4 linked regions of the Caenorhabditis elegans genome follow. The protein of the gene in region 2 interacts with the protein of the main gene of each other region in a biochemical or structural test. Each region holds a gene or a part of one and is shown on either strand. Other genes may lie near its edges. The genes, in order: flp-3, npr-5, flp-21 and flp-18.

The links.
Region 1: of the proteins of npr-5 (region 2) and flp-3, one has a biochemical effect on the other in vitro, tested with the Caenorhabditis elegans proteins (one study listed by BioGRID).
Region 3: of the proteins of npr-5 (region 2) and flp-21, one has a biochemical effect on the other in vitro, tested with the Caenorhabditis elegans proteins (2 studies listed by BioGRID).
Region 4: of the proteins of npr-5 (region 2) and flp-18, one has a biochemical effect on the other in vitro, tested with the Caenorhabditis elegans proteins (4 studies listed by BioGRID, with this or other methods).

The regions. Positions count from the first base shown.
Region 1 is NC_003284.9:10,091,446-10,094,679, forward strand, and holds flp-3 (TPLGTMRF-amide), read right to left. Parts: upstream 1,520-3,234; 5' UTR 1,474-1,519; coding exon 1,410-1,473; intron 1,362-1,409; coding exon 1,164-1,361; intron 1,115-1,163; coding exon 938-1,114; intron 890-937; coding exon 774-889; 3' UTR 501-773; downstream 1-500. Other genes in the region: flp-2 (SPREPIRF-amide), read right to left, coding at 3,184-3,229. UniProt on the Caenorhabditis elegans protein: FMRFamides and FMRFamide-like peptides are neuropeptides. SAEPFGTMRF-amide inhibits the activity of dissected pharyngeal myogenic muscle system.
Region 2 is NC_003283.11:275,703-284,047, reverse strand, and holds npr-5 (G-protein coupled receptors family 1 profile domain-containing protein), read left to right. Parts: upstream 1-2,331; 5' UTR 2,332-2,343; coding exon 2,344-2,492; intron 2,493-3,276; coding exon 3,277-3,468; intron 3,469-3,652; coding exon 3,653-3,809; intron 3,810-4,470; coding exon 4,471-4,677; intron 4,678-4,773; coding exon 4,774-5,002; intron 5,003-5,715; coding exon 5,716-5,873; intron 5,874-6,007; coding exon 6,008-6,081; intron 6,082-6,678; coding exon 6,679-6,814; 3' UTR 6,815-7,062; downstream 7,063-8,345.
Region 3 is NC_003283.11:7,790,928-7,795,435, reverse strand, and holds flp-21 (GLGPRPLRF-amide), read right to left. Parts: upstream 2,070-4,508; 5' UTR 2,067-2,069; coding exon 1,982-2,066; intron 1,932-1,981; coding exon 1,862-1,931; intron 1,697-1,861; coding exon 1,651-1,696; 3' UTR 1,411-1,650; downstream 1-1,410. UniProt on the Caenorhabditis elegans protein: FMRFamide-like neuropeptide. Involved in modulating locomotion quiescence during the sleep-like state called lethargus which occurs during molting between larval and adult stages, acting via the G-protein coupled receptor npr-1.
Region 4 is NC_003284.9:3,011,079-3,016,743, reverse strand, and holds flp-18 (SVPGVLRF-amide 3), read left to right. Parts: upstream 1-2,457; 5' UTR 2,458-2,465; coding exon 2,466-2,541; intron 2,542-3,583; coding exon 3,584-3,676; intron 3,677-3,725; coding exon 3,726-3,875; intron 3,876-3,923; coding exon 3,924-3,977; intron 3,978-4,023; coding exon 4,024-4,186; intron 4,187-4,236; coding exon 4,237-4,327; 3' UTR 4,328-4,330; intron 4,331-4,379; 3' UTR 4,380-4,554; downstream 4,555-5,665. UniProt on the Caenorhabditis elegans protein: FMRFamide-like neuropeptides. Ligand to G-protein coupled receptor npr-1. Involved in modulating locomotion quiescence during the sleep-like state called lethargus which occurs during molting between larval and adult stages, acting via npr-1.

The sequences.
Region 1 (3,234 bases), on a different chromosome or scaffold from region 2:
CTGCATTTTATAACTCCATTTTTAATATACAAAAAATGAAGCAACAGATAACATTGTGAACTAGTAACGATGACTGTTCAGAATAAGAACAAAACGAATAAGCAGAAAAGGGAAAATATGCGTTTATTGTGAACATTCAGCGTTTTATTTTTAATTTGCAGTTCATCCATAATATTTTTTTCCTTGACTCTGTGCTTTAGTGATAGTTCTATTGTGAGTAGGCTGAGTAAACTTCTTTAAGAAGCCGGCAGTTTCCACGCATTCATTGGTTGGCACATGTTGGTCTTCTGTAAACATCTGAAATGTTCGAATTCATATTTGTTTTCAAGTGTCTAAAGGGGAAAACACCGGAAGTTTTGGCCAATCGGATGATGAAAGCGGACGAGCGAACCATGAAATTGTGTTCGAGAATTTCTCCATCAAAAGCAAAGACTAAATTTGAGAATCTTACAGTTTGCTAGCTAACTATTTTGGTCAAGCGTGAACAACTAACAACAAAATTTAACAAAGTGAATAATAACATTAATTTATTCTCCAATCTATGCAAACCACTTGATGAGAAGAACAGAGAAGGGGGTATTATGGAATAGTCGTTTTTCCTTAGTTTTTTGCAAAAGCCCAAGAATTATGCAATCGTTTCGGTATATTTTGGTATGAATTAGAAGCCAGAATGATAAATAATGTTAAAAGAGAGTGCCACTGCTGCGGGGGTGTTGAACATGAAAACTTAGTTGAAGCGAGAATAATATAAACGTGAAAAGTGAAAATAGAAATTATTTTCCAAAGCGCATGGTTCCAAGAGGGTTTCTTTTGCCAAAGCGCATTGTGCCAAATGGAGCACTGTCGTCAGCTGATCTTTTTCCAAAGCGCATAGTTCCAAGTGGCTCTTCTAAAAGCATAACATTGTGAAATCAAACTTTAGTACAGAACTGTATACCTGCTTCACGTTTCCCAAATTTCATTGTTCCAAATGGCGCATTACCGTCTTCTCTCTTTCCAAAACGCATGGTTCCAAACAGAGCATCCTCACTAGCACGCTTTCCAAATCTCATTGTTCCGAATGGTGTGTCGTTCTCAGGATTACGTTTTCCAAAACGCATAGTACCGAATGGCTCTGGAAACAGGTGGGTATAGTTTTTGAAAATTAATTATTTGTATAATACCTGCACTTCGTTTTCCAAAACGCATAGTTCCCAATGGAGTGCGCTGATCACGAATGACGGGCTCCGAAGAATCAACAGTAGACCGCTTCCACATTACATTTGACGGATAGTATCCATCCTCCTCAAATGTCATTTCATCAGCAATGGCTCGTTTGCCAAAGCGCATTGTTCCCAGTGGAGACCGTTTTGGTGTGGCATCTAAATACTTTTCATTCTATTTCAAAAACATAATTTCTATTCTCCTACCCGACGCTACCAAAAACGCGCAATTCACACAGAAGAGCAGGATGAGGTGATTGGGCGATATCATTGGTGGTTATGGTGGTGTTACGCGGGAGCTAACACACAAGGGGTACCTTAAAATATAACAATTAGTTACGGAAAATTTAGTCAAGAAGAAGTAGAAGTGAGGTTGTGAACCGCCGAGATATTTGCATGTTTTTATATGAGCTTAATTTCAACAATTTTAACGGTTCAGTTGTCATGCCGGAAGAGGTGTGTGGGGTTTTAGAAATTTGGTCAGGAATGCGTAAATACTGTGTGCAGTTAGAAAAATGTTCATGTGAAACGAGTAAAATTGAAATCCGGTGCTCAAAAATTATTGAAAATCTGAGCTTTGGCGAACAACTTTGTTTAATAAGTACTCGGTACATTCTATTGTCAGGTAAAAATTGGAGGCGTTGGCAATTTGGTTTAAAGGGGCGGGTTTCTAAAAAGTAAGTGGTCCCTTGATGTTGCAATGCACAGGTCAAACGATTACTATTGTGTCGAGAAAAGACTTCGAAAATGCACGATTTGACGTACGACGTCTACCGCCGCCCAACACTCCTTCAAACAAATTGCCAAGTAACAATGCTATTGCTCTTTTATTGCGGCCAGAGTTTCTATTAAAAAACGGTGGCACCTCAATTTATGCATCGTCATGTGACATTTTTGGAATACTCTAAGAAAAGAAATAAGATAATTGAGTCTAAAAAGACACTCGAAATTAGTAGAAGAAGCGTAGGTGGTAGTTTTCAAAGTTCAGGTTAATAATTTGAAACTGAAAGAATTGTGTTGAAACGGGGCGGCGGTTAACGGAAGAGGTGGGATCTCTCGAAAAACCTATAAATTTTGATGTTCAACATCATAATTCAAGCCTAGATGGATAACGAGAATGACGACTCGAACCCATTTTTTTGATGGGATACTGTAACTTTGTGACATCAACTCTCACACAGCCCACCGCCAATTATTAAATCTTTGCGTGCACAGCTAGTCAAATGTAAGTCTTGATTGATAATTGTCAGGTACGAAATTTAAACCGGGACTGGTGTTAGTTCAAAACGTAGATAGACATTTGTTCTCAAAAAAGAAAGAAATGACAGAATCCGATTGGTGCCTGTTGGTTGAGATGCCACCTTGTCGAATTTGTGAAGCGAAGCTGATTAATGAACTGAGCTTTAAGGAGGGGGGATTTTCTGTTTTTGAATAATTAAACATTATTTTTTGTCAAAAACGTCACTTGTCAGAACGCGAGAAATGATTAAGTAGGTTGAACTAATCTTGTTCTCAAGATTGAACAGTGTTTTGAAATTAAAACGAAAACTAATAAATCAAAGCTTCTTGGAAATTCTAGCACCTTCCAAAGTCACTCCACATGTTTAATTATGAGCACTCATTGACATTTCCGAAACAATTCTTTGAAGAACTAGCAAGACTGAATTTTAAAATTTTGATCTTGAAAATAGTGTGCCTCGTTTTCTGACCTAATCTGGCTAAAATCTGAAATTCAGTGCCAGTAGTCGTTTCCTTTGTTCGCGAAGAAAACGTAAGACTTGGTTAACAGATGGGCTATTATTCCATGCGGAACCCAACCACTTTATTCGAAGTTATAGGAAACATAGTTTAAAAAATGTTGTTGCATTGAAAGTACGGATCAAAATATAGGACGAGAATGGGAAGAAAATGTTGGAATATCTAATATGATGTTGGCTGAGTAGTGGGGTTCACCGTGCATTGAATCATTGATAGGATGGAGTTATTGGAAGTCGTAATCTGGCAGCGGATTGAATCGTTTTCCGAAACTGAA
Region 2 (8,345 bases):
GTGCACAAGATACCGAAAAATATTTATATAAAGCCTTTCGCTGAACAAATTTCGGATTTTAACAAACATGACTAGTTGTTTTGTGTTATAGATTGAAATTTGTCTAACACTATAAGTCCATGTCTATCAGATTAAATTTCTGTTTTTACAAGCCGAATTTTCTGTAAAACAGACTATTATTTTTCACATTTTAGACAAAACAATAAACTCACGTAGTTTTGAAGATAGTTTTTCACTTAAACTTCACAATTTCCAATTTCGATGAAAAAAAAACAGTTTCAACCAAGAAAGGGGTGGAGTTTATTTTTGGAATTTTTTAAATGTAAATTCTTCTACAGAATTTAAATTTAGAAAAAAAAAATTTTATATGTTAACAAAATTGGGTTAAACAAATTATATGGTTAATTCTCTAAACATTTTTTTTCGATGTTCCAATTTCCCTTTAAAAATTGAAACATCTTTTGAATACACATATGGTAAACACTACTAAAGTAACCTGGAATTTTTCCATAAATGATTAACGGGAAACGGTAACTTTCAGGCTCTATTCAAAGTTTTAAAAAGTTTTTTTTAAGCAAAAATCATTATTATTTTTTATTTCTTCATAATTTTTGGATTCAAAAAGTTGAAATTTACCACTGTAAAAATTTTCATATAATTTTTTAACCGCACAACACTGGTAGGTAGGCACATTTAAAACACGCGCCTGTCTACCTGAAACTTTTCTAAAAAATTCCCATCTCACTGCTTCTTCTTATATCGTTATTCTTGCTCCTCAAACTCAACACCCCCCCCCCATTGAGCTCACCCATAAAAACCTTCTAAACTACCTGCCTACCTTCAAATTCCCACACCAGGTGATAGTCTTCTCGTAGTGTTCTCAAATTTCACTAGACATACTGCCGGCTCACGCAGTTTTTAAGAATCCTCCTTCTCCATCTCCACTCGCCGTAAAAACGTCAAAGATTATCGCATCTCCGCCCTATCTCCGTCCAATTGCTCTAATCTTGTTGAACCTTATTTCTCTCTCTCCTTTCTTCTCCATCTTTTTTTGCTCTAAAAGCCAAAAGTGTGCTCTGATAATCTTATCATATCATTTGCAGAATTTTAGACTCCAATACTTTATAAAATTTTGTTGTTTCATTAGTAAATGTTCTAAAAATACCTCGAAAAAACCCCGTCACTTAAATGGAATTGGAATTTTTTTGGCATTCGAAAAAATGTTTTAAAACTAAACTATCATTTTTGAACTTTACTTTAAACTTACAAATTTGTTATTAAAACAAAGCCTATAATTGTGGTAGGCAGGGAAGGCGCCTCAGGCAAGCCCAATTGCCTGATGCTTACCTGAAAAGTTAGGCCCAAGAAAAATTGGTAGTCAAAAATTGGTAGTCATATAATAATGATGCGAGTTTCCTGTGACCCCCTTTTACATATTTCATTCATCAAATTGCCATTGAACCAAACATTAGTCACACTTTATCCACCTTATCACGCTGAATACCTCCAAATTTTGGGTGAATTGTTAGAAGCTAGCTTTATTCCTAGGAGCCATGTGACTTTTTTCAAGCTTAAATTTTAAATAATTGATGTTTTTTAATAGGTCAAAAATGGACTGGTGATCGGTCAAGGGAGAGCTTTTCTTTATTTAATCTCTTTGTTATCTTTGTCAAATTTTTTTTGTGTGACGTACATATAATAATTTATTTTTACACTTTTTGTTGGAAGCCCATAGGTCAAAAACCAAGGATTTACTGGGAAGACTGAGACATTTAGATAATTTTTTTGATTTTTTAAAGGTTTTTTGTTTAGTCCTAAAATTATGGAGATTATTCTTTGTTTTTTGAACTACCTGGCACATTTTAAAGCGGGTTTCGAGATTGATTTATTTAACTTCATTAACATAACAATTTATGTAAAATTTGATTTTTTTTTTGAAAATCTAAAAAAAAGAATCTAAAAATATAAAAATTTTACTTCCCGAACAATAGCTCAAAATTTTTACCATTTTTCTTTTTTTTAGAAGAAATTTCCTTTTTTTTTTCATCGACTGAAATTTGATAGAAAATTGGATTTTATGATTAATTTCCAGAACACGCTTTTCGATTTTCCCATTTTAGAAAAAAACATTTTTCGATTTTCGAATTTAAAAAATTTAAAAACTCTAAAATTTTCAACGATATTTTTATTTTATGGATTTTATGCATGTAATTTTCTTCAAAACGTTTTTATGTGATTTTGACTTTTTTGAATTTTTTTTTTCAAATCCTTTTATCGATTATATTACCCCTCTGAAAGATTCTCTCTTTAATATCAAATTTTCAATTCCAGAACCTTCGATGCATGGTTAGTTCGGCGGCCACCATTTCGACCATTTCAACCACAACGACTCCCTCCACCATCAGCAACGTTATCACAAGTCATTCGAACAATGGCTCGTGCATTCAGATCGCTGAGGCGATTGCGGCACAAGGCATCGATGATATTACTGTGTAAGTTTTGGGTATCCTGGATGGATTTTCTAACTTATAATTTCCAAAAAAACCTGTCAACTTTTCTCACCACAAAAATCACAATTTCCGTCATAGTTCAACGATCTCATCTTTTTCACCCAAAACCGCTCGAGAGACTTGTCCTCAAACATTTCAACTTTTGACATGTGGCTGACGAGTGACATGGAAAAGTGCTCTCTTTCTCATTTTCCTTGGAGAAAAATCAATTGGCAAATTTTTGTTATCATTATCAGTGTGAGAAAAGTTGTTGAGAACTAGGGTGGAGAGAGATAGATGATACAGTTGTTGTGACATCCGACAGCTGTGTGCTCTTGACATTTTTTTCAAATGTTCTTGAGCTGGAAGCATCCATGAAAATTAAATGGGGACATTAAACTGGCGATCGCAGGGAAACAAAAAGAGAAAGTTTGAATACCTTAGATAACTTAGCAGCCGACATTTCAAGGGTATGTCTAACGTCGTTGCTCTTCTAGATTTAGCAGCCGACATATTACTGTAATGAACGACGTCCCTCCTCTGTCACACTAAAGCTGTAAGAAAGTGACGTGGAACATGACCGAGAGATGTCTGCCGCACTGTGTGGTCACTTCCTTTGACAAGTAGCGGTAGACACCTCGCGGGCATGATTGGCGTAACTTTTTCTGCCACGTGTAGCACCCGACACCTTACGGTTTGTATGACGTCATTTTTTTGTCTCACGTGCCGGCCATACTCAAAGTCCTACCCTCTCCTCCCCTACACTCAAAAAATCAAATTTTTGCAGAGACTTTTACATCCGATCAATCTTCACATTCCTCTACGGGTTCCTGTTTGTATTAGGCATTTTTGGAAACGGCGGCGTACTATGGGCGGTGGCGAGAAACAAGCGGCTCCAATCGGCTCGCAACGTATTTCTGCTCAACTTGATCTTCACCGATTTGATATTGGTGTTCACAGCGATTCCAGTCACACCATGGTATGGATTTTTGTGAAAATTTTGAGGGAAATTGTTTAATTTTTATAACCTAAACTTTTACTGCAATGAAAATTGAGTAATTTTCAAAAAAAATTGTTAAAATTTTTGAGCAAGTTTTTTTAGGTGAATATCTCCTGTAGAATATGTTATGAATTTTTTCTTTCAAAAAATTCCCATTTTCCAGGTACGCGATGACCAAAGACTGGGCATTCGGGTCAGTGATGTGCCATTTAGTTCCTTTGTCAAATTCGTGTTCGGTGTTTGTGACGAGTTGGAGCCTCACTGCAATCTCCTTAGATAAATTTCTGCATATCAACGATCCCACCAAACAACCAGTTTCTGTAAGTTTTTTTCGAAATGTGCTAGATATTTCTGAAGCTTCATGAATATTCTGAAATGAGCTAGAAATTTCTGGATAGTTCTGGAATTTTATTGTAGTTTTTAAATTTTTTTTGGATATTATTGAATTTTTCTAAAATTCCTTGAATTTTCTGCAAGTTTTCAAATCTTTCTGGAAGACTCGAGAATTTTTTCTGAAGTGTTCTAGAAATTTCTGTACTACTTCAGACTTTTTTTTTGGAAAGGTTATACATTTTTTATTGTTTTAGAATTATCGGGAAGCTTTCAGAATTTTTTGAGTTTTCTGCAACGCTTTAAAAATTTCTGGACATTAAATTTTTTTTTGAGATTCCCATAATTTTCTAGAAATTCCTTGAGTTTTCTGGGATGTTTTATAATTTTCTACAAGGTTTTAGAATTTTCTGACAGGTTCTGTAATTTTTTTGAATGTTTTAGAAATTTCTTGAAGCTTCTTAAATTTTTTGGAAGGCTGTTAACATTTCAGGAATGTCCAAGAGGTTTTTGTTTAAATTTTCTAATCTTGAAGTTTTTGGATTTGTCCAAAAAATCTAGGAAATTCTGGATAGTTTTAAATTTTTCCGGTTAAAACTCATTTTTAAAATTAAAAAAAAAAACCATTTTCGAATTTCATTTTCTTTCCAGATTCGTCAAGCGTTGGCAATAACATTTCTTATCTGGATAGTCTCAACACTGATAAATCTACCGTATCTTATGTCTTTCGAGCACGTCGATGGAAGCTTTTACGTTCAGCCCGGAGAAACTCCATACTGCGGGCACTTTTGCGACGAGGCGAATTGGCAGAGCGAAAATAGTCGAAAGATTTACGGAACTACGGTTATGTTGTTACAGGTGAGCAAAAACACGCTGACCTAACAACCATAAAAATTTTGCAAACCTAAATTTTTAAAACTTTTGAAATTTTCCTACATACGTCCAAATTTGCAGTTCGTCGTGCCGATGGCAGTGATCACGTATTGCTACTTCAAAATCTTGCAAAAAGTGTCAAAAGACATGATCATCCAAAATGCTCAATTCTGTCAATCACTGACACAAAAGCAGAGAAGTGATGCGACGTCACGAAAGAAGAAAGTGAATTATATTCTAATTGCAATGGTTGTCACATTTATCGGGTGTTGGTTGCCTTTAACATTACTCAATTTGGTCAAAGATTTTAGTGAGTTTTTATTTGTTTTTTGGAAAAAAAAATCGTAGTCAACTGTTTTGAAAACGCTAACTATAATTGACAACATTTTCTGCTCAATTTTGTTTTTGACTGTCTTATATTAAAATTAACTTATTAAAGGTTGAATACGGCCCAAATGACTGAAAACTATTACTAAAATGACCAAAAATTATATATAAATTTTTAAAAAAAGTTTGAAAAGTTGTTTAGCTCAACTCGAAATGTCTCAAAAATTCCGAAATTTGTAAAAATTGGTAAAAATTTACACCTTCGCTGAAAATGAGCCATTTTTTCCAAAAATAATCGCCCAAACTTTTTTTTTGAGAAATTTTCAAAACGCCTCACTACAAAATTTGGTAATTTTGGGCCATTTTTGGTCTGAAAAACGAAATCTCTTCTCAGCACAGCACGTTCAATTAGTCGTAACATGGGCTCTTAAATTGAAAAAGGTCAAAATGTATAGTTTGTAAAAATGAGCAAAATGTGGTTAGTTTATAATTTGGTGAAAATTTATGCTGCTCAATCCAAGTCGGTGTAATGTTACGAAAAGGAAGCCTACATAAAAAGCTTCTGCCTGTGGTAGGTCTATGTAGAATTCCTGCTGTAATTCCTAGTGTGAGCGATTAAAATGTTCGAAAAAATATTTGCCGTAGTTTTCGAAACTTATGTTCAAAATCACTACACATTGAAACCAAAATTTTCAGAAAAAGAGCCCGAATGGCTAAAACGTCAGCCGTTCTTCTGGGCAATAAATGCTCACGTCATAGCCATGTCCTTAGTCGTCTGGAACCCTCTGCTATTCTTTTGGCTGACACGAAAACAAAAACGTTCCGGACTGTCAAAAATACTCAACTCAACAGAGGTGAGTATTGTAAACTTCTTCAAGTCCCCTTGTATAAAGTTTGCTCCTAGCCGTGTGCTCCTGGTGTTCTTCCCGTTTTCCACTGCTTCCTTTGTGTCCCCCCTCTCTTCCTCTGAGCCGCCTTTTGTTTTCAGATTGTGTCCTCGTTTGCCAGTAGAGTGAGTAACTCGATTCGGCGGTCAACGTTTCGGAGAAACAATATTGACAGGTACAGGTTCTCTTCTAACTTTTAAAAAACTCTCTAATCCTCTAACTGCTTGACTTTTCTCGAAAAAATTCTGTTTCCTGGTCTTTTGTACGTTGTTCAAGCTTGATATGGGGTACACATCTCCTCTTTGCGATGGGGCGCGTCTGCCGCGCAGTGCCGTCATGGGTCGTGTACTACTCGTGGACTTTGGAAATTTTTTGGAAATTTTTTCGGGTTTAATTCTAGTTGGCAGAGGCTGGACCAATCGCCGTTAAATTTGCAAGTTTTGAGTTTTTGAATTTATTAAATGCTCTAAATAACAGAGAAAAGCGAGCCATACAAATTTATAGCTAACAAACAGAAAAAATGTTGATTTTCCCGTTTAAATGCGCTTTTTTCAATCCGATAATGCAAGTGCGCTCTACCGAACAAATTAGTGCGCCATGATATCAGTTAGTTGAGCGTAATTTCGAGACTCGATTTGCATGAACCACATAGTCTACTTCCGCCGCAACCGACATTTTCTGGGTTTTGCTAATCCTACAGCAAACCCGGGGGGGGGGGGGTGTCCGCCGCTTCACTAAATACCTTCATATCTTTGAAAATTGTATTTTGCAGGGTTCGAAAAAAGCAGGTGGTTCTGGATTGCGAGGGATCCAGCTACACGACCTCCTCCCGACCTCTACTCATTCGGACAGATGTGCAGGCAACTCTTTCTAATGGCTCGACGAGTACTACCCGCGAGATGCTGTAAATTCTATACGTTACTCCCCTGTGTTCATCTTGCCCGTCTCTCGAAAAATTCCATTATCTTTATTTTCTGTTCATTTTTTGCATAACGAAACGTGCGATTAATCCGGGTCCAGTTCGCTCCGCTTTTTCTCCTCCTAAGACAGCAACCCCACAAAAATCTAATTGCCTTTTTTGTATTTTCTTTGTTTTCTTTTCTTGTTTTTTTTTGTGTCAAAATAGCGTCACCTAATAAAGATGCACGCAAAGAAAAATGGGATTATACAACAGGGAAACGTCTTGAAAATGCACACCGAGCAAGAGGCAAATATTTCTGTGTCTACGAAAATGTAGGGGTGATAAGAGTCCTGAATCACAATTTTAGCAGCACTCGACACTAACCGAGTTCCGGTATTCATCAGATCACCAAACAGCTAAATAGAGGAACCCGGCAGATGTAACAAAAACAAAAATAAGTTTTTTGCATTACTAAACAAATTCAAAAAAATATAAATACAAAAACAACAATTTAAACGCAGAGTATCATTTTCCGGGAATTTCCTTTGAGAGATCAAATATCATGAAAACAATTATCTACTAATTTACTAAAAATTTTAAATTTCTTTCATTTTTATCCGAGAAATTTATCTTCACGAAAAATACTTATTTTAAAAAAACGTACTGTATTGCTCCTACCGTACCATTATTGGCTGTAAAAACGCAACTTTAAATCCAAACAAAATATGTGAATTTCAATTCTTTCAGAAAAAAATATAACAGATTTTTTAAAAATTATTTTTAAAAATTCGACTAAAAAATCGTAGCAATTTTTTTTCAATTACGATAGAATTTCTTTCTGCCAAACTTTTTAAAAATGTGGATTTTGTGAGAAATTTGCTACACGTTTCAACATAACAAGACTATAAAAAGTGTAGAAAAAACACTTTTTTGGTCGACTTTCAAAATTATGACAAAGTTTTTACCACTTTTTGCCTATTTTATTTCATTTTAATTCAGCTACTAATGATAGTACCGAAACATTGTTAAATACAACGAAAAGTAGAGTAGTGTCCGTGGTTTTATTTTCCTAATGGACAGAACACAGTCCAAATATGCCAAAATGTCACTTTTCAAAAGTTATAGAATTTTTCAAAATTTTTTAAATGATTTTTTCAATTTTGCAAAAAAAAAAACGGTGAATTCTTTTTGTATTCTCGTCTAAATAAATGACAGCGTTTTCATGTTTTTTGTTTTATTATTTTAAACATAGTTTGTCAATTTTTCAGACATTTTTCCGTGAAAAAAATTTTTAAATGTTAAATTATCGATTTTTAGGCCAATTTCATAGTTTCATAAAGTTTATGTTCTATTACCAAATTTAATTTATATTAGAATGACGGAAAAATAGGCTAAGATATTTCGAATTTATTGTTGCAAAATTGAAAAAATCATTTAAAAAATTTAGAAAAATTAAAAAAAAAACATTTTCTCATACTGTTTTCCAAACCACATTTTCCAAAAAACAAAATGTTCTCAATATTTACATGGCCTACTCA
Region 3 (4,508 bases), 7.5 Mb from region 2:
TTATTTTGTCACGATTACACTTTTTCAACCCACACATCATAGATGAACTTCATAGATAAACATAAAGAGAAATATTTGAACCTCTAGCTTTGAGATAAGGGTAAATTTGAAAATTGACTCTAAAAAAACTCATAAAAAATCACAAAATTGAACAATTGAATTTGTAGAAAATTTATAAAAATGATGCAACTTATCACAGAAGTAGAAATACAATTTTTTGGGCAGAAATATTTTTAGAAAAATTGTTATAGCAGTATTTAGCCACTTATAGACAAATCTCTTCTATAAATAATGTTTAAAAATCACACCAAAGAACTCTTGAATATTGGCCAAAGTCCAAGTAGTTCGTCTCATATTTCTAGACGTTTGTGTTTTGAATTAAATATTTAACTTTCCAGATTCCCACGCCCACTCAATTTCAATATTTTTAAAATATTTATTTTTGGTTTTAGATTTTGAAAATAAGCTTAAAAATATAATTAATCTGAAAGGTCCTGTATTTTGGTCTTTACCTATATTTTTTTAAATAGAAAAAAGCTTATTGCGATTTGAACCATTTGTCTGATGAATACCTTGTTTACTCGTTTTTAGAGCTTTTAAAGCTCATTTTCTTTGTTTGGATGAGATTAATGTACAACGAGATCCTAAAACGACAATATCTATTACGTAATTTACGAATATTGAGTTAACTAAAAATGAATAAGGCTGAAAATAATGTGATAATTTTTTAGGGATAACAGAAATTTGTGCAGAGATCGAAGCAGGAGTTTGTGGCCCCGAATGCTGAATTGACCAAACTAAGAATTTAACGTTAAAATGTATTGTTGAAAAACACTAGAATTTTTGCTCAAAATATGTTATTTTCTGTTTTCGCGGTAATCATAAACCGAATTGGATATTTTATTTTTTCGAAACTTTTGCAATCGGCTCGGCTTTGGTAGGAAACTATGTATAAGTACTACTTTATCTTCAATTCTAGGGAATTCTCGGTTTTATTGTGAATAAAATCCCTAGGACTGATTTTTTCCATGTATTAATTGCCATACGAAATTTCTCGGAAAATGTTCTTAAAAATCATCAAAAACCAAAATTCAACGATCATTACACTTTCCACAAAACTACAAAATTGGCACCCAAAACTCAATTTCAGGAGCTTTATTACTATATAGTCGGCACATTATGTTAGAAATTCAAGAGATAGACGCCTCAATGGATTTATTACGGCAACTACGATCCTTGAAACAGTATCCATAATGTTTGTTCAACCCCTGCAGGGAAGACACCAACTGTTTCATTAATGTAATCCTGACTGATTTTCCCGGATTCTACCATTACAGTTGCAGGGTACAATTGCACAATTGGAAAATTCTTAAATATAAGGGCACTCATAAACTTAATAAAAAGTCAAATGTCAAACTGAAAGCTGTTTTTATTTGTTCAACAGAAAAAGAGGAAGTGAGATAGAAAAAGAGAGAGAGAGTAAAAAGAACATTGTTTCTGCAGCGTTTTCAAAGAGAAAAGGAGAGGATAGATATTTCTTCGGAATTGGAATTGTGGAGTGTCTGGAACATCATTTTTGTATAAAGTTACATTGAGAGGAAAGAGAGAAAATGTTGTGTCATGTTGTTCGTTCGTTCGAGCAGCAACCGTTTATCCAAATCGGAGAGGACGAGGACCGAGACCACGTTTCATTGATCTGAAATTTTAAAATTAGTTTACTTTTTTCTGAATCGCAACTAATTTATTCTAGCTGAATGCTCGTATTTCGGTAAATTATTAATTATAGCGATTTGCAACTTATTCTACAGTAAGACTTGACTTAATAAAGATGTCTATCAGAAAATAATTAAACTGGACCTACCCATGATCGTCTTCGGCAACATAGTAAACTCTGTCACTGCCGGGTCCGAATTGCTCCAAATATGCGTTCACTGAAAAAGATTAATGATTAATCTAAATCTTTAACTTTGACAAAACTTACAAACGCGGAGCGCATCTTCCTGATCGATATAAGGCGCTGCGAGGACCCACGCGAGAAGACACGAAAGCAAGATGAACAGCCGCATCGTCTGAAAATGACTTTTTGGATTTTGGAGCAATGAGAGGGTGGGAGATCAAACGTTGAATACACAATCAAATCTTAAATAGTGTACATAGTCATCGTTGTAAATTTGCATTTGTTAATGAGATTCTTGCGAAGCATGATGGGATGGGGTGGAAAAAAAGAAGTTTTGAGATAAATAGTAAGACGGAAGTGATCACTACGGTAGCTTTGAAACAAGAAATGAATATTTCAGTGTATCCCCTTCCAAATCTACTGGACTACTCACAAAAATGACCTTTGCTCCAAGAGCAACCACCCATCCTAGAACCTAGGCAAATGATACATCGAAATGTTTTTTCAGGTAAGATGATGTTATATGTATACGTGATTCCGGTAAAAGTTTTTTCTGGGAACTATGAGGAGGGTGTATGTGGTGGGAAAACAGGATAGCCCAATATTTATTGGGCACGTCATACTCGTTGCAGAGCATAGTTGAGGTGGCCGGAAATCGCGTTAAAATATGCTATGACTTGAAAACAACAATGGTCCTATTTTGGAAGATGTAATTTTACGCGATAATTCAACGAGAGATTGTAATAAAGACGTGTAGATTTTGAGTAACCATAAAATATGAAAAATTCATGAGTATTACAAATATGCAGTTTTTGGAATAAAGAAAATAGCTGACTTGAAAAATCTACTGCTCGATGACTTTGTCTAATTACGGTCTTGAAAGAAAGCAAACAGCGTCTTGTGCATTATGAGGTTTTTTGAATAAAAGGAAGTGTGCTCCGCTTAATTAAGATAAACATGTTTCAGTGTAAGTAGTTGGTCCCGACTGTAAACGCATCAGAAAACTTTAAGGTGAGAACAGTTGAGTTTCAATGCACGTATTTGATACAGCCAAAAGTTATTAAACTTTAATTGAAAAGTAGAGATTTCCACAACACATCTAACCTTTTAAAAATGTGACAGTTGATTTGAAAAAAAAATCTAGGACTGAACTAGGAAAACTGTTGACATACGTTCTTCTTTCTTTTCCCCTTTAATACCACATTGTTTTGGTCAAAAAAGTCTTTAAGATTTTTAATATTCGCAGACATCTCAACCAAATGAGGAACAGTCACAATGAAGACCACCTCAAAATGCATGTAGGTTCTTCTTTTTTCTGATATTTTTGCACAGCCTTCCCCAAAACATTCACAAACACATAAAAAACACCAACCAATTGATATACCCACAAAAGTGATGTGAAGAGCAAGTGGGAGTAAGATAAATGTGATGAACGATGAGGTGGAGGGTAAAAGTGATGAGAAAATGTAGTCTTACAAATATTCAAAAAAGTTGGTAGTTTTTGATACGATAAGTTTTCGATGAAAACCAAAAAAAGAAATAAAGAAGCTTTATGAGCCGAAAAAAGTAGAGATTTCCACGATTATCGAGTTACTTCGGGGCACATTTCGTCATCATCGAAGAAGAGGAAACAAATTTTCGTTGGCTCATTGACTTTCAAAGTTAAACTTCTTTAGAGAGTTTAGCGAGGCATAAAAACTTGAAAATTTTGTAATTTTTGGACTCGGTTTCAAACTAAAGAATGGAAAAACTTTTCCCTGTCCAAATGTCAAAGTCGCATAAAAATTGTCATTGGTAACAAAAAAAGTAGTGTTTTAGTGGGTCAGTAGATCAAATTTAACATTTGGCAGGTGAAAGAATTTGTAGAGGTACACGTCAAATGCTGGTTTTTGACGCGTTTTCTCCAAGATCTCTTATATTTTGGTTTTGGAAATATCAGCATTTTACGAAGTGGCCACCTAACAATTACAGACGAGTATTCACATCACCATATGTATTTGTGATTTTTCGAGGAATGATATCGAAGACTGAAAATTAGAATAAAATTCCAGGATAAGAAGGCTTTGGCTTAAAATCAGAGCTTAAGCTATTAATTTGTCATTTTATTATTTACGAAACAGCGTTCAGACAGAAATGTCATAGACTCCACAGTAATAAGACAGACGAGTGATCAAAGTTCCGTACAATTTACGAGAGTAATTTCTTACGACGTAACTATCAAGAAATAGGTGACTGCGTTTACATATTTCCGGTTTTTTTGTGAACCTAAAATGATTTTCAAAAAAAAATTCTACTGCGGCAAACACAGACATTCGGACAAGAGAAAGGTACATAGACATGAAAGCGTACCTGCCTACCATGAAAGTTATAGGCCAAACTTAAGGTTACGGTATTTCTAAAAAAAAGTAAGGCAGCGGAAAATTTTTGCCGAAATCGCCCTTTGCCGTCCACCCTCGGATCTAACAATATACAAATAGCCAGCTCGTGTAGTTTGCCAAAATTTAATTCGAAATTTGTTTTAAAAAAATGCTTACAATGTTAAATTGGAAAACCGAGTTTCCAAAATTTTGCTACACTGGGCATAGCGCAGAAATTTTACGCAAATATAATA
Region 4 (5,665 bases), on a different chromosome or scaffold from region 2:
AAAATTCGCATTTTCAAGCTTAGAAACATTAATCCTAAGTCCAATATGGACAAAAAGAGTAGTGTATTAGTACCAAGTAAGAACCCTAAAAAAAAAATATTCTAATTAAATTTTTGGCAAAATGCCACATTTTTCTTTTTTTTCTCAACGGGGAAAAGTTGTGTTTCTTCCCTTTTTATTAAATTTTTTGTTTTCCTTAGGCTAAGTACAACTTGAAATGGAACAGAAATTACATAAATTTATTGCTTTCACATTTTGCTCTTCTTCACTCAAATCTTGGACTCTTGCTTTTCACAAAAAAAACCTTATAAACAAAAATAAGACATCTGAAAAAATGATGAACTTCCTGTCAGTTTGTTCCAGTATCCTTCTTAAATTTCCTTGTTTTCCACATCACAAAAATCCTACATCACGCTTCGACTCATTTCCTGACAGTCATCACATCACCAAATGAATTTCTATTTTTACAATATAGTTGTAGTATTTTTGTCGAACATATATTGTTCTAACTAACTTCTTAAAAAATTGTGCTCTTGACTGAACACAAATTTCTGCGTCGTTTCACGTTTACTTTTCTCAATTTTTTAAAACCAAAATTTAACTGCAAACTTCTGCATTGTTCTAAAAACTCACAGGTTATCTCAAAAAGATAAATTTCAAAGTGAGATTTTTTTAAAAAAATTCCGGACTGTTTTTTGATTTTGATGTTTTTAATGAATTTTTAAAATTCTTTATTAGTGCCTGAAATTAACAATAATTTTAAAGTTTGTCACACTGCGAATAAATTAATCTCACATTTCGTATGTTTAGAAAGATGCATGAAACTCCGTCGTTCTTATGAAGTTAATTAAGACATGGCTAATTGAAAGCCCACATGGTCATGAAAAAGTAAAACTTACAACTTTTTACTGAATATTAACCAGTCTCTATAAATATCCCAGCTTAGCCGGAATAGGGTCACGAAAACATGAAAATAAAGCTTGAACCTATTGTTATGATTTTCAATGCCACCTTTTGCAGTTTAATATACACTATTACTACTTCTCAGTTCAAGTTCACTTCTGAGACGGAACCTTTATTTTCTAACTTTCTTTAATCTTACTTTTTATGAGCCGAATGTTCTATTTTGTAAAATGATCAGATACAAGCCCAAAGCTAATTTTGCCAATAAGTGTTAGTAGATCAATTGAATTACAATATAATGACCTGGGCGGAATAGATTTTTGCACTGATTTTTTTCCAAGCTTACTCTATGAATATTCATAGATCATCTTCAAAGGTAGCGTGTGTTGTAGTTGTGTTTTGGCGGGTTCGTGTTATTTGACTCAGCTCAAGTAGATGTTGTAGTCTTCCCTCAATCAACGCGTGGGCTTGACCCTCTTTAAATTGAGTGGAAACCAGCCAATCTATTTGAAATCTACCCCCGAAATGAGATTCGACGATGACACGACGTGTGTGTTACGTGCGCTGAGAATTTAGGAAAAAAAAGATAATCTTCTTTTCGTTAGCTGCGCCACAACCTGTGCAGATAAACTCCGCACAATTGAAGTTCTTACTGGTCCCACCCGATTTATTCAATTGTATTGTGTCTTTTTTTCTTATTTCTCTACAACTCTAACTTTCTTCAACTATTCTCTACATCAGTGCTTTTTTCCACCATGAAAAAAGAAATGACGTCGTTGTTTCTTAGGAGGGGCGGAGCCTCAACTCAATGGTCCGTTCGAATAGATCCCACCCCTCATATAAATAGGACTGAAACCAAAGAAGTTTTTAAATTTTCAGCTTACCGTGTTTCTCAATTTTCAAAATAGTCTTTTTTGTGTCTGAACGGGCTGATCAATTATGTTTTTTTTTGAATGAAAAATCTTCCTCCCAAGCCTTAAAATTCCTTCCAAAGATCGAAAGTTATGTCTATTCAAGTTACTTCTTCTTAGATCAAATATTAAACAAAAAAATACGCCATCATTCTCTCACATTTAGTAATTCAAAATTTCGATTTGTTTTCGAACTTTTGAATTTCCCGCCTAGGAAGTGACATGAGTGAAATCTCATTAGATAAATGTGCCACTCACCGATGACACTATTTTCAAATAAGGGGGGGGGGTGTTTCGAATACCTTGTACACGCGTTTCCGCAAAACCACACACCCCGAGTTCCTCAGCTTCTTCCCCTCGACCCATGAGCCACGTCAAGATGTCAGCGTGTCACTTTTCATTGCTTCACCTTCTACGGTAACGAGAAAAGGCGGGGAATCCAGGATCTGGTGTGACTTCTTCCTTCTTCGTATCTTCCTAAAAATGTTCGTTTACTTTTTAGCGAGTGTCATTTGATGGGATGTCGTTCTTGAGGAAAGAGGCTAGAAGCTTAATACTCTCATATTTCATATTATTGGCATCAAGACGTTTATTATTTAACTACAATAACGATTGCTTTAACAACTAAAAATAATAATTTCAGGGTTAGACATGCAACGGTGGTCGGGCGTTCTTCTCATTTCGCTGTGTTGTTTGCTTCGTGGGGCGCTCGCATATACCGAACCAAGTAAGTTCTTGATGAACGAAACAAAGAAAAGTCTTGGCTGATCCAATCTCTTAATTGGGTTTGAAGGGAGTTTGGATAGCCCCAGATCAGCGTGGAAGATTGAATAAAATGACGGCAATAATTTGTCTTAATGTAATCTTGAATTTTATTTTAAAATTTTTAACTTTGTAGTTTGTCGAAACGTTGGTTTCGCGTACATTAGTTTTTTTTCAAAATTCTGGACCTGACGTAGTTAGCTGAAATAATTTTGCGCGGTGTTCAAACATCGCATCCGTATTGAAACTTCATTAGTTTTTATAAGCTTCTGTGATATTCATTTTCCAGTGAGACCTATGAATAATCTTCGCTGCTTCCCACGGTCCGTGAATCTCTAGACTTGGTGTTATTGTCTTATTGAAAAGTGTTTCCACTGACCTTCAAACTTTCTATAATCTAGAGTGGCCCAATGTATTTTTGGAAGGAAAAACGCTTGGATGAAAACAAGATGTAGCGGGAAAAAAAGGGGGCGCCTATGGATATTGTGGAAAGATAGTGTTGAGTTGGATGCTGAGTTTTTTATTCTTTCTTGTCGGGGCCCGTTGGGACATGTTTCGTTCGATGGTGCTCTGTACCCATCTAGACCAACGCGGGAAGCCAAGTAAAATGACGCTGTCGTTCTGCCAAAGTGATGTATTTCGACGATTTCAATCAACAAGAAACGTGTTTTTTTTCGTTTCTTTTTTCAACAGGGGTGCACAATTGAATTGTGTCGATTTGAAAGCATGAATTTGAAATTTTTGAAAATTCTCGTAAGGTCGATCGAAACACATACATAACTGCAATTAGGAGGAATTTGGACGCTTAGCGTCCGATAGGGGCGCAAACTTTTTTTTCCAAGGGGTAGTTTTTCACGGCGTCCGATAACTTCCGAGTTTGACCACTCACTATACATAATCATATAATTTTATAATGAGTGGCTCAACTCGGAAATTGTCGGACGCCGGACGTCCGATATGGCAGCCCTAAATACAAGACGGCACATTGAAACAACTTATATTTTCAGTCTATGAAATCGTCGAAGAAGACATACCAGCAGAGGATATCGAAGTGACTCGGACCAACGAGAAACAAGACGGTCGGGTATTCTCAAAAAGAGGTACAAAATTCTTCGTACAACTAACCATCAATTTTTTGTCTAATTTCAGACTTTGATGGGGCGATGCCAGGTGTGTTGCGCTTTGGAAAACGTGGAGGTGTTTGGGAAAAAAGAGAAAGCAGTGTGCAGAAAAAAGAAATGCCGGGAGTGCTCCGTTTCGGTAAACGTGCATATTTTGACGAGAAGAAAAGTGTTCCAGGTAAGTAGTTCCTTGTTGGTTTATTGCATACTGAAAATTGACTTTCAGGAGTTCTTCGCTTCGGGAAACGCTCATATTTCGATGAGAAGAAAAGTGTTCCAGGTGGCATCATCATCTATTCTAAATCAAATAACATCTCAGTTTTTAGGCGTTCTTCGTTTCGGAAAACGTGATGTGCCAATGGACAAACGGGAGATCCCAGGAGTGTTGAGATTCGGAAAGAGAGATTACATGGCTGATTCGTTCGACAAGCGCAGTGAAGTGCCCGGAGTTCTCCGTTTCGGAAAACGCGATGTTCCCGGTGTATTGAGGTCCGATCATTTTAAGACTTCATCCAGCTTACCAAGGTTTTTGTTTTCAGATTTGGAAAGCGATCCGACTTGGAAGAGCATTACGCAGGGGTTTTGCTCAAGAAAAGTGTGCCAGGTGTTCTCCGATTCGGACGGAAGTAAATTGTAAGTTTCTAAATAAGATTTTGCCAGTCTGACATGTATCAAGTTTCAGATGAATGTGAATGTAAAATGTGCCAGCGACAATTCGATGATCTCGTTGTTTTTCTTCTTTTCTTCCGAGCGTCTCATTTCAATCACTTAATATTAAGTTTTTGTCTCTTTTCAACAATGATACTAAACGTTGTCAATTCTAGAGCTCCATACGATTAAATGAATCATTTCCTGTTACGTCAAACACAGTTCGTCTAATTTTTGAGTAATGTAGTTGTGTGTCTATCAATTGTTTTCTGAACAATGTTGAAAAGCAGATTTGTTCATGGTTGACGTGTGTTGAAAAGAATAATTACCTCCAACTCTGTGCATTTTAGGAATTGATTCATTGAGCTTTCAAACGATGAAAAAGTATGCTTTGTGTTATGTCAGTTATCAGATTAGATAAGTCTAAACAGAACCCAGTGTGAAATGAGTCTATTCATGAAGCTGCTGAAAATTTGAAGCATGTGTATCAAAATGATTCCAAAAAATTTGAAACGCAGAAAAGTTTTTTGAATTATCAAATAACCAACTTCATGTGCACAGGTAATTTCCGTCCTTAATTCTCTTTCAAGTTTCAGATTTGATTAATTGAATCTGGGATCATGAAGATTTTTTCAAACTGCTTTTCCCAATACACTGATGAATCTAGTACTGTACAATTTTTCTTTCATTTCAGAGAGAGCATCAATATTAAAATTAATTGTAAGCAAGTCAACAAAGTCAACAAGTTTTCTACTTAATTATGGCTTCACTTTTCACTACGTTCATTAACAATAATTTTAAGTACCGTATGTTTCGGAGTGGTATCCAACCCATGAGGTACTGATAGGACTAACAAAAAATTCTTAATCAATTAACTTATTAGGGGTGATTAAAGGAAAAAACCTTGAATCACAACATTTGACGCATCCATTTAATTGGCCGTCGGGCCCGTGCGGCGGTGTTGAAGACTGAAGATTAGGCCAATGTGCGTAGCGCCATGATGATGAGAGTACGGTCGTTGTTGTGTGTGTGTGTGATAAACACTCTTTACGTTGGTCCGGACAGAGGAATTGGGGGAGAAATGCGTTGATGATGTGTTGACCGATGAAGATAATAGCTATAAAATTTACATTTTACTATTGCCTCTTTTTCACAAAAAAAATTAATTTCTCACTTTGATAGCAATATCGATCATTTTCGTACATGATTCACAGCTCCATTTCTTTTCATTTAACCAACGTCCATCCTTCGTTCTAAAACGCACATTATTAACTTATCGAGTTTTTATGAATGAATGCATGCACTCTGCTAATATATTTG